3 linked regions of the Kluyveromyces lactis genome follow. The protein of the gene in region 3 purifies or fractionates together with the protein of the main gene of each other region. This does not show direct contact. Links are inferred from orthologs where the notes say so. Each region holds a gene or a part of one and is shown on either strand. Other genes may lie near its edges. The genes, in order: PHB2, PHB1 and YTA12.

Region 1 (2,833 bases), on a different chromosome or scaffold from region 3:
TCACCACACCAGCTTTCAGAAATGAAGAACAAGTTTGCTTCTCCTACCGATGATTTGCTCTCTCCATGTTCCCAGAAGTTGAACGATCACAGATCGAAGTTGTTCCAGGCAAAGAGCAATCCTACCAAGTTGAATTTCCAGTCGAAGCAATTAGCAGAAGAGTTTTAAATTTAACATGATCCAAGATACCCACTCCTCCCTATACTCTTCTGCGACTACATTCCTTGAGATACTTTGCTCTTAAGACGCTATTTTAAACATATTTACTTCAAGTCAGGCAGGTCCGAAACTTGCCTCAACTTATATCAACTTTTGCATCATAAACCTAGACATGAAATGTGCACGACATCTATATGAAACACAATGATTGCTCCTTTGTATATCCCCCAGTTTTTAACATATATTCTGAAAACATCTCTGTTTGGATTTTTACATAGGGATTACAACTCGTCGTCATATTGTTTTGAATTTTGACTTTTACTATAAACAAGATACATACGAGATAAATAAGATACCTAACTCGTTGAATGTGAAGAATTGGTGTTAATTTATTGTTTCAGTTTTGCTCCTCTAGTTCTTTGATCTAGAATCGGTCACTGTATTCAATAGAAGAGCTTCATTATCTAGAATAACCTTGTTTGGAGATCTGGATAAGATAGAAGCAATTTCTCTAGCAGTATCTAATCTCTTCAATTCCACGTAATCTTTACTTTTCTTGATGGCTTCACCAATCAATTCAGCAGATTTGGCCTCACCTTGTGCCTTAACGATCATACCTTGCTTTTCTTGAGTGGCCTTATCCACGACGAAAGCAGCCTTTTGAGCGTCTTGTTGAGCAATTTGTTTGGCTTCAACAGAGTTTGTGAATTCCGGAGAGAAAGTCATGTAAGTGATGGAGACATCATCCAACATGATATTGAAATGCTTAGCACGACGCACCAAGTTTTCCCTAATCAATCTAGAGACACGTTCTCTTTGGGTAATCAATTGAGAAGCATTAAATTGGGCAACCACCGCCTTCAAAACTTCATTCACGATACTGGGAAGCACTCTTTCATCGTAATCAACACCGAGAGTACGGTAAATCATTGGTAAATTCTCTACGTTAGGTCTGGATAGCACTCTACAGGTGATGTTAACCATCTGTAAATCCTTAGTACCGGTCAATGACGATACATTTCTTGGCTTGGCACGCACATCGTAGACGACCGGGTTTTCAACCCATGGAATGATAAAATGAGTACCTTCTGGGTAAATTCTCGGTTGAACACCGTTGATACGTGAATAAACAATGGCACGGTGACCACCATCAACGTTGAAAAGAGCTTCGTTAGCCAAAAATCCACCACCAATCAACAAAAATAAACCACCTAAAGCCCCAAAGGCACCACGAGGAGGCTGTCCGGAAGGATATTTACCACCTGATTGTTGTGCACGAGCCAATTGTCTTTGTACAGATCTGGCAAACTTACCAAAATCACCTGGATATCTGTTCATTGCGTTCTTTTGATTAAATTATAATAACTTTGCGGGGGGTAAAAACACAGCTTTTGTTTCAAATTTACAGCCAATCAGAAAAGGGCAATGTGCGGTTATATATATAATATTACTGCTGCGATTGTCGTAACCTCCTAGTTCCTTTGCTTGAACCCTTTCCCTTTAAGCAATTTCAAACAACGAACTGAGTTGCTCATTTCTCACTTTGCCACTTAACATCTGAGAAGGGGCGACATCCCCGAAAATATGTTTGTCACAATGCACGGATCACGTGATAAAACATCAACACTCTAGCCTCTGCTCATGGTGGTATAGCCAGGCACCGGGAAGTTGAATGTTATCTGAGACCCATAAGTATCCTATTTAGTACTTAAAACCTGTCAGCTTTCCAAATGTGTACCCAGATTTCGTCCAGGTGTACCAAGTCTTTCCACTGCCGTTTCTTATTTCTTTGATATGAGGTAAAAACCCTTTAAAAAGGGTTTCAACTTAAAGACAGCTTATTTCATACAAGCGTTGGTTGGTCAGAACCATACAAGAGCTGTCCTGGGATCAGTGTATTTGTAAAACATTGAAAGCACAATAAACAATTCAAACTATGGGTGCTGACTTTTTGTTACATGCTGCGTGTATGAACGGAGATACCGAAAAGGTTCAACAGATATTAAGTGAGTTTCCGGGCGCAGTGAAGGTTAAAGATGATGATGGCCGATATCCTTTGCACTGGGCAGTATCATTCCAGCAAGACAACATAATTGATATATTGTTGTCCTATATGAAGAAAATTGATTTGGACACTATTTTGGATGAATCTGGTTGGTCTCCGGTACACATTGCTAGTTCTATCGGTAGCGTTACTATTCTTGAAAAGTTACTTAATCATACTGTTGAACCAAACCTTGATCTACAGGCTAATAATGGGATCACTGCTTTACATTTAGCTTGCTCTAAGAAGCATTTAAATGTGGTTCAACTTTTAGTGGAAAGAGGAGCTTCAGTGAGAATTAAAGATGGCCTTGGTCAATTGCCTTTGCATAGAGCTGCAGCTTCCGGTTCAGTGGGAATTGTGTCGATATTATGCGATAAAAACTCTCCTGTTAATATAAAGGATAAAAACGGATGGTCTCCTTTGTTCCATGCTTTGGCAGAAGGTCACGGCGATGTTGCTGTCACGTTGGTCAACAAGTATCATGCATTATGGGAAGGAGAAACCGACAACGATGACTTGTCCATAGATAAAATCTGTGTTGACGCAAAAGTGAAGGATTACTTTTTGTCAAAGGTTGAATGATTTATCCAATTCGAAGGGGCTGGTAGTTAATGTATGCTTATATAC
Region 2 (2,676 bases), on a different chromosome or scaffold from region 3:
AAAAAGTCGAAATAAAAATGAAAAAAGTACTAAAAACGACATGTTATCCGATGATTAATGAGAGAGAGAAAGAGAGTATTCAATGACCACCTAATACCTGCCGAATAATCGGTTCTTCTCACCTTTATTTTCCCTACCTTCCTTTTTTTTTTTTTTGTCCCGAGACCCTTTTTTCCTTTATTAAAATACCGTTTAATTAATATCTTCATACATTCATCACATCATGTCATGTGTATGTGCTTGTGTATGTGTATGTACATATAATAATAATTATAATTAATATATGCTTTGTTAAATATAACTTTGGCAGTTTTATGTTGCTTTGCTTAAATTGTATATATTTACATGAATTCTGCCACTAAACATAGGAGAAGGAGGGGAAAAAACATCTTTTTTGGCTGGGTGTTGGCGGTTTAACGGCCAATGTTTAGTAGAAGAGAGTTTGATGTACCGTCTTGGCCACCTTGGCTGCTTTTGGATGGTAAGTAGGTGATGTTTGGAGAGTTTGCTAATGTTTCGGCAATTTCTTTGGAAGCTTCCAATCTTCTGATAAGCAATAACCCGTCACCGGCCTTGCTCAATGCCTTGGAAATGTAGTCTGCAGATTCAGCTTCACTTCGGCACGAATAACCGCAGCCTTTCTCTCTTGTTCCGCCTTTTCAACAAGGAATCTGGCTCTTTCAGCATCTTGTTGTGCGATTTGCTTTTGTTCAACGGCCTTGGTGAACTCTTGACCAAATGTCATATGTGTAATACTGACATCTTCAAGTTTGATATGGAACTCATCAGCACGCTTGGAAAGTTCGGCTCTGATTCTTTGAGACACAATTTCTCTCTGTGTAATCAATTCGGCTGCGTCGAATTGGGCAACAATGGCCTTCAAAACTTCATTACCAATACTTGGTAAAACTCTTTCATCGTAGTCAATACCCAAGTTTTGATAAATCTTGGGTAGTTGCATCACATCTGGTCTGTGCAAAACTCTCAATGTTAGTGATACCATTTGCAAATCCTTCGTGCCGGTGTTCGTAGCAATGTTCTTTGGCTTTGTTCTAACATCGAAAAGTATACTTTTTTGTAACCATGGAACTAGGAAATGAGTACCTTCACCAATGACAGCTTGCTGAACACCCTGCAATCTATCAAAAATGACTGCTCTGTGACCACCTCTGACATCATACATCGAGTATTGAATGGCACTTACAGTTAAACCAACTGGGATGGCGATACGAGCCATAACATCAGCTACACGAGACATTTTCAGCTTCTAGTAATCACTTATTTCGCTATCTCCAGTACAAATAATAATGACTAAGTATCAATCAATTAGTTCGCTAATGGAATGATACGATTTCACAGGTAGTTCAACGGTTGTTGTTCTTCCTTTTCTTCTGACCTGTTTCTCTCCCCCTTGAGTTCAGAAGTGGCGAATCCCTGCTTGCCATTTTATAATTTGTTCTCCATTCAGCATTTTTCGGTTTTCAAAGGGTGCAGTCACGTGATACGAACTGCAGATATATCTGAATATATAGTAAAACATATACACTAGCACAACACAGACATACAGTATGGGGTTTATATTCCTTCTTGTACACTATAAGAATCATCTGAATGTTTAGTAACAATTTCCTTTTGTTGCCAGAACGAAAGGATGTCAAGAATTTTCTGTCTGGGCATTGATGTCATTTTATGGAGATCTTTCAATGTATACCTTCTCTCAGGTATAACGTAATTACAGTCAGCCATCATACCAGGAGCATTTCTGCCGTTTGTCTCGTTTTGAAAATGTGATATCACCAAATATTGTTCCATTGTCACTTTGAAGAATCGTCTTTCGCCTGATTTCGTAACTATATTGATTGAAACTCGGCTACTAGATCCAGTATCAAATTTTAGCGTCCTTCCAGTATTCAATCTTTCGTACACTTTCGTTAATTTTTGAATCAAAGGTTCCATTTCGCTGTCCCATTTGTATTTCGTAGTAACGAGTCTTCCATTCAGGTTCTGATAATGTCTCCAATAAAGTTTGGAAAGGATCTTAATATGGGGGAAATTCTCAAAATGAGAGTTATTTTTATGGGCTACTTGATTTCTGAATTGGCTGCTTAATCTTAGGTCTTCGAGCATGATATCTACATCATTGAGGTGGGTTAAATCGGCTTCCTCTGATGTAACAGTACCTTTTCTTGTCCCTTCCAAGTGATTCAATATAATATCCATTATTCTCTGCCATTCTGGATCTAAGGAATATTCCTCAGATTCAATAAATTTACCACTTACAACACCTAAGAGATCGTCCACTAATGTTCTCTTTGACTCTAGTACGTCTAATAGCACATGGATCAAATCAACCGGTGGGACATATTTGCCATCATTGTCAGCAAAATCTTCCACATCAAGTTTGATTCTTGGGGGTTCCGGTACCCAGTTCAAATACTGTTTCAAAAGTTGATCGTCTCCATCGTAAGTACACCGAGGTAGATGGGGCTGGTTGAACCAAGGCAACGCGGTGGGTAATTCGGGACCCATTGAGAAATCACCGACCTCTCTCGAAAATTGCTCTAACTTTTCAAGATGTACGGAACTACCATCAGTTGATGATGCAATTTTGAACCGTTCATTATTTTGGAATGGAAATATCCCGAGTAGTAGCGTTTTTATAATATCCGGTCTTGG
Region 3 (4,418 bases):
TTCCTCATCAACCTTATATACTTTCAATGTGTCGCTTTATCTATCTCGGATTTGTTTTTGCCAAACTCGGAAAGATCACACCGAGAGGCATATAGGCATGCATAATGTTAAACAATCAATAATCAGTACGCTCTAGACTGATTAATGGCCAAGACAACAAGCACATCAAACGTAAGTGAAGTAAATTGTGTCAACGTAGACCTCTTTTGTTATTATTAAGAATGACTTACTTAAAACCACCTATTTACATGCTTGATATATACAGTATAGTCTGATGATAACTACTGGTGCTTGGGATTACGAAATGAAATTGCAGAAACAGAGTAGTTAGAGCTAATAATGTTATTGTTTTTAAAAGACGTTGGGATCATCTTGTTCATTGCTCTTTTTGTCTGAATCCTTCTTGTCCGAATCCTTCTTATCATTATCCTCCTGTTCATCTTTCTTTTCAGATGCTCTGTTCTTCAGTTCGTTAGCTGCTTCTTGATCTTTGATCTTTTTGGTTTCACGTTCATTCAAGTATTTGTCGAATGCGTCGTTACGTTCTGGGAATTGACGTTTACCTAAGAGTGCAATCATATCTTCTCTTGTTAGAACTTCCTTTTTCAGTAGAAGTTGAGCAATCTTTTCAACGTCTTCAGCCTTTTCTTTGAGTAACTTGGCGCAACGATCGTGGCATTCTTGAACGATACGGTACACTTCAGAGTCCACAATGGATCCTGTTTCTTCGGAGAACGGTTTGGTTAGATCGTTTTCACTTTTCTTGGCAAAGTTGATCCACCCGATCTTATCGCTCATACCTAACTCAGTTACCATTGCAGTAGCCATACGAGTAACTTTCTTGAAATCATCGCTAGCGCCAGAGGTCACGCTTGGGAAGTGCAGTTCCTCTGATACACGGCCACCTAGTGCCATGGTCATTCTGTCCTTTAGTTGTTGTTCTGAAAGTAGGTATACATCACCTGGTAAGTATTGTGCGTAACCTAGAGCACCTTGACCCCTAGGAATGATACTGACTTTGAGTAATGGGTCAGCAAACTCTAGATACCAACCACAGACGGCATGACCAGCTTCATGATATGCGACAACCTTCTTTTCTTGTGGAGACAATAGTTTTGATTTTCTTTCGACACCACCGATGACCCTTTCAATGGCCTGTTCGAAATGTTCCAATCTAACAGCATCACAATCGTTTCTGGCAGCAATCAATGCAGCTTCGTTACAAACATTAGCAATGTCAGCACCGGAGAAACCTGGTGTCATAACAGCCAATCTGTTTTGTAGATCTGTCATATCACCAGCCAATGTAATTTTCTTCAAGTGAACTTTGAAAATTTCTTGACGGCCTTGTAACTCTGGTCTATCAATGTTGATATGTCTATCAAATCTACCAGGTCTCATCAAAGCCTGATCTAGAACATCTGGCCTATTGGTACCTGCAAGGACAACAACATGATCTGCAGTAGTAAATCCGTCCATCTCAACCAAAAGTTGGTTCAAAGTGTTTTCTCTTTCGTCATTGGCACCAGAGAAGTTACCCTTTTGTCTTGCCTTACCGATAGCGTCGATTTCATCAACAAAGATAATAGCTGGAGCATTTTCTCTAGCGGTCTTGAACAAATCACGGACTCTGGACGCACCAACACCGACAAACATTTCTACGAATTCGGAACCAGACACAGAATAGAATGGAACACCAGCTTCACCAGCAGTAGCCTTTGCTAGCAAAGTCTTACCAGTACCGGGAGGACCAGATAGGATTGCACCTCTTGGAATCTTGGCACCCATTCTTTCGTATCTGGATGGTTCTTTCAAGAAACTAACGAATTCCATGATTTCTTCCTTGGCTTCATCGCAACCAGCAACATCCTTGAAATTGACCTTTACGTCGGTATCTTTATTAAACTTTCTGGCCTTTGATTTACGCACGTTGAATAAACCACCTGGGCCACCACCGGCAGCGGATGCACCCTTTGTAGTAATCCAAATCAAACCTGCAATCAATAGTGCAGTTGGTAATATTTGGAAAGCTAATTTGACCCAATTCCCCTCTCTAGTGTAAAGAACAGGAATTCTAAAGTCTTCCGCGATATTCAATTCATCTTGTGCTTTCTTCAATTTATGTTCAAATGATTCCACGGATCCGATCGTAAAGAAATAAAAATCGTGGCCCATATGTTCAGGTTGATTTTTCCCGTTATCGTTCAAGATAACCTTGACTAGATTATTATTGATAACAATTAATTTGGACACGTACCCTTTCACCAACAACTGGTTACGGAATTCTTGCCATGTAAGTTCTCTTTGTTCCTCCATGCTGTTCAATCTGTGTAGGATAAATGCTAATATCGTCAATGTCAAACCAACTTTGAATAAATTGATGTTAACAGTCATCATATTCGAATCATTTGGTGTGAAATCCGTATTTCCGTTGGAACTCTTCTTAGACTCATTCTTGGGATCATTCTTGGGATCATGCTTCTTCGCCGATTCTTCAAATTCTCTCTTCTCGCGCTCTAGATGGAAAGGATCATTCGCTTTATCTTGGGCATCTTCTTTTTCCTGCTGCCTCTTCACAGCAAGCTCCAACCTCTGTAATTGCTCTTCAATCTTCTTCTTACGCTCTTCCATATCGAGTTTCTGATCTTTGTTCAAATCATCGATAAACTTTCTAACTTCTTTCCTGACTTTATCAACGTCTTCATCCGTAGGCTCCTTTTCAAACCGATTCTGCATCAAGTTGAGCTTACCGGAATGGAACGTACGGCATACGTCGTTTCGTAACAATATCAGCGAACGCCCCTTTGGAACTTTGTACAACGCCCTACTGGCCACAGACTTTACGCCAAGCCTAGATACCGGCCTTATTAAATGGAACATTGCAAGTCACTTCAATGTAATAAAACCACCACGTCGCTGCTACGGTTAGCCGAGTCTGATTGCTATACCGTTTACCTAACAGGACTTTTCGAATTTAAAACCAGTGGAAAATCTTTGTTAACACCGAAACAAACCGAGACAAAAACAGCCGTTTCAACAAACACCTGGCTATTTTACACTACTATAGGGTCTTAAATTCACAATGCAACCACTGTAGATTGCAAATGTAACTGCTAACGCTCCTTTTATCGGTGGCAAATGGCCTTGTCTGTTCACCTTATGGGGTTGTTCTGGTTGAAAAGCCCAAATTCATTTTTGGTAGAGCAAGGACATATCGTTACCCGGCCACTTAGTATAATACACTCTTATTACGTATGTTGAGATATACACGTATACATGGGAGGTCAGTTCAGCTATGTTATAGGCTTGTTTCGAATCTCTTTTGTTCTTCTATAGCAGCGACTATATCTTCGTCCAAGATGTCTTCGTACATCGATGTAGGGACGTCAGAAAGACCGGTGCAAGGTCTTGCTAGGTCAAGAGCTTTGATTCTTGTTTCGTACATAACTTGGCTTGTGTTTCCTTTCACTTTCTTCACTGATATCACTCTCGTCGATTGTGTGGATTGTGGTATATGTAAGACGTTCGTGTACGTATCTCTTAGTCCGAGGTTTTCGATGAGAAGAATGCGTTCTCTATCGTAGAAAAGATCACTGTTGAATCTACTGCATGCAGCAGCATGATGATAGAGCCAGTTCGTAGATGAGATATTGCTTGTTGCCGGGATGTTGTGATTTCTCTTGTCAAAGAATTCTACTGCATTTTTGGATGGGTTGACGGATAATTGTTGCGGAATGTCTATTCCAAGGGTATTTCTTCCAGTGACACTTGTGTGTGATGTTTCTCTTGCTGGGGTACCCTCTTTCACCTTCCCGGATGCACGAAGCTTACCGGCGTAATAATCATCCGTGATGTTTTTACCATCTACAACAACCTTGGCTCCGAATTCTCGGAACACACTCCTTGCAGTAACTAGCGCAATGATTCTGTTTCTGTACGAATAGGGCAATACACCATTTTTGATGAGATCGTCTCTCTCTGATTGCGAGATAATCAATTTGTATAGGTTTGGATGGTACTGGAAGAACAAGTATGAGTCTCTGAACCCAACGGCACGGGCTGGCTCAGTAGAAAGCATGTATTTAACTTCACCTCTGGAAGGTACCGTGAAAGTTCTGACTACAAATTGTCTTCCCTCTAGAAGATCACCATTCTTGGTGATCTTGGTTTCACCCTCTGGATCCTCAGGTAATGAATACTCGTCATTCACAATTGGGTATGGAGACCCGTTTTCGTCCACTGGGTACGGTAGTTTCTGTCTTAAGGGATCGTTCAAATCTTCTTCTCTTTTCCTCTTTGAAGGCCTTCCTCTTGTCGCTAGTACCACTGGAACAGGTGTGCTCGAAGCGGCCTTGCGCTTGGAACGAGATGGTTTACCCTCGTTTTCGATATCAGCATCTGGGTCATCATCGTAATCA

What was found.
Region 1: the proteins of YTA12 (region 3) and PHB2 purify together in Saccharomyces cerevisiae (affinity purification with mass spectrometry; 3 studies listed by BioGRID). This does not show direct contact. The link is inferred for Kluyveromyces lactis from reciprocal best matches to the Saccharomyces cerevisiae genes YTA12 and PHB2.
Region 2: the proteins of YTA12 (region 3) and PHB1 purify together in Saccharomyces cerevisiae (affinity purification with mass spectrometry; 4 studies listed by BioGRID, with this or other methods). This does not show direct contact. The link is inferred for Kluyveromyces lactis from reciprocal best matches to the Saccharomyces cerevisiae genes YTA12 and PHB1.

The regions. Positions count from the first base shown.
Region 1 is NC_006041.1:1,406,457-1,409,289, reverse strand, and holds PHB2 (prohibitin subunit PHB2), read right to left. Parts: upstream 1,498-2,833; coding exon 571-1,497; downstream 1-570. Other genes in the region: BNS1 (Bns1p), read left to right, coding at 1-168; NAS6 (Nas6p), read left to right, coding at 2,096-2,788. UniProt on the Saccharomyces cerevisiae protein: Prohibitin probably acts as a holdase/unfoldase for the stabilization of newly synthesized mitochondrial proteins. Involved in mitophagy; may act as an adapter for ATG8 that supports mitophagosome assembly.
Region 2 is NC_006040.1:1,371,870-1,374,545, forward strand, and holds PHB1 (prohibitin subunit PHB1), read right to left. Parts: upstream 1,259-2,676; coding exon 578-1,258; downstream 1-577. Other genes in the region: APC2 (anaphase promoting complex subunit 2), read right to left, coding at 1,576-2,676. UniProt on the Saccharomyces cerevisiae protein: Prohibitin probably acts as a holdase/unfoldase for the stabilization of newly synthesized mitochondrial proteins. Involved in mitophagy; may act as an adapter for ATG8 that supports mitophagosome assembly.
Region 3 is NC_006042.1:1,269,199-1,273,616, forward strand, and holds YTA12 (m-AAA protease subunit YTA12), read right to left. Parts: upstream 2,881-4,418; coding exon 352-2,880; downstream 1-351. Other genes in the region: NPL6 (Npl6p), read right to left, coding at 3,299-4,418.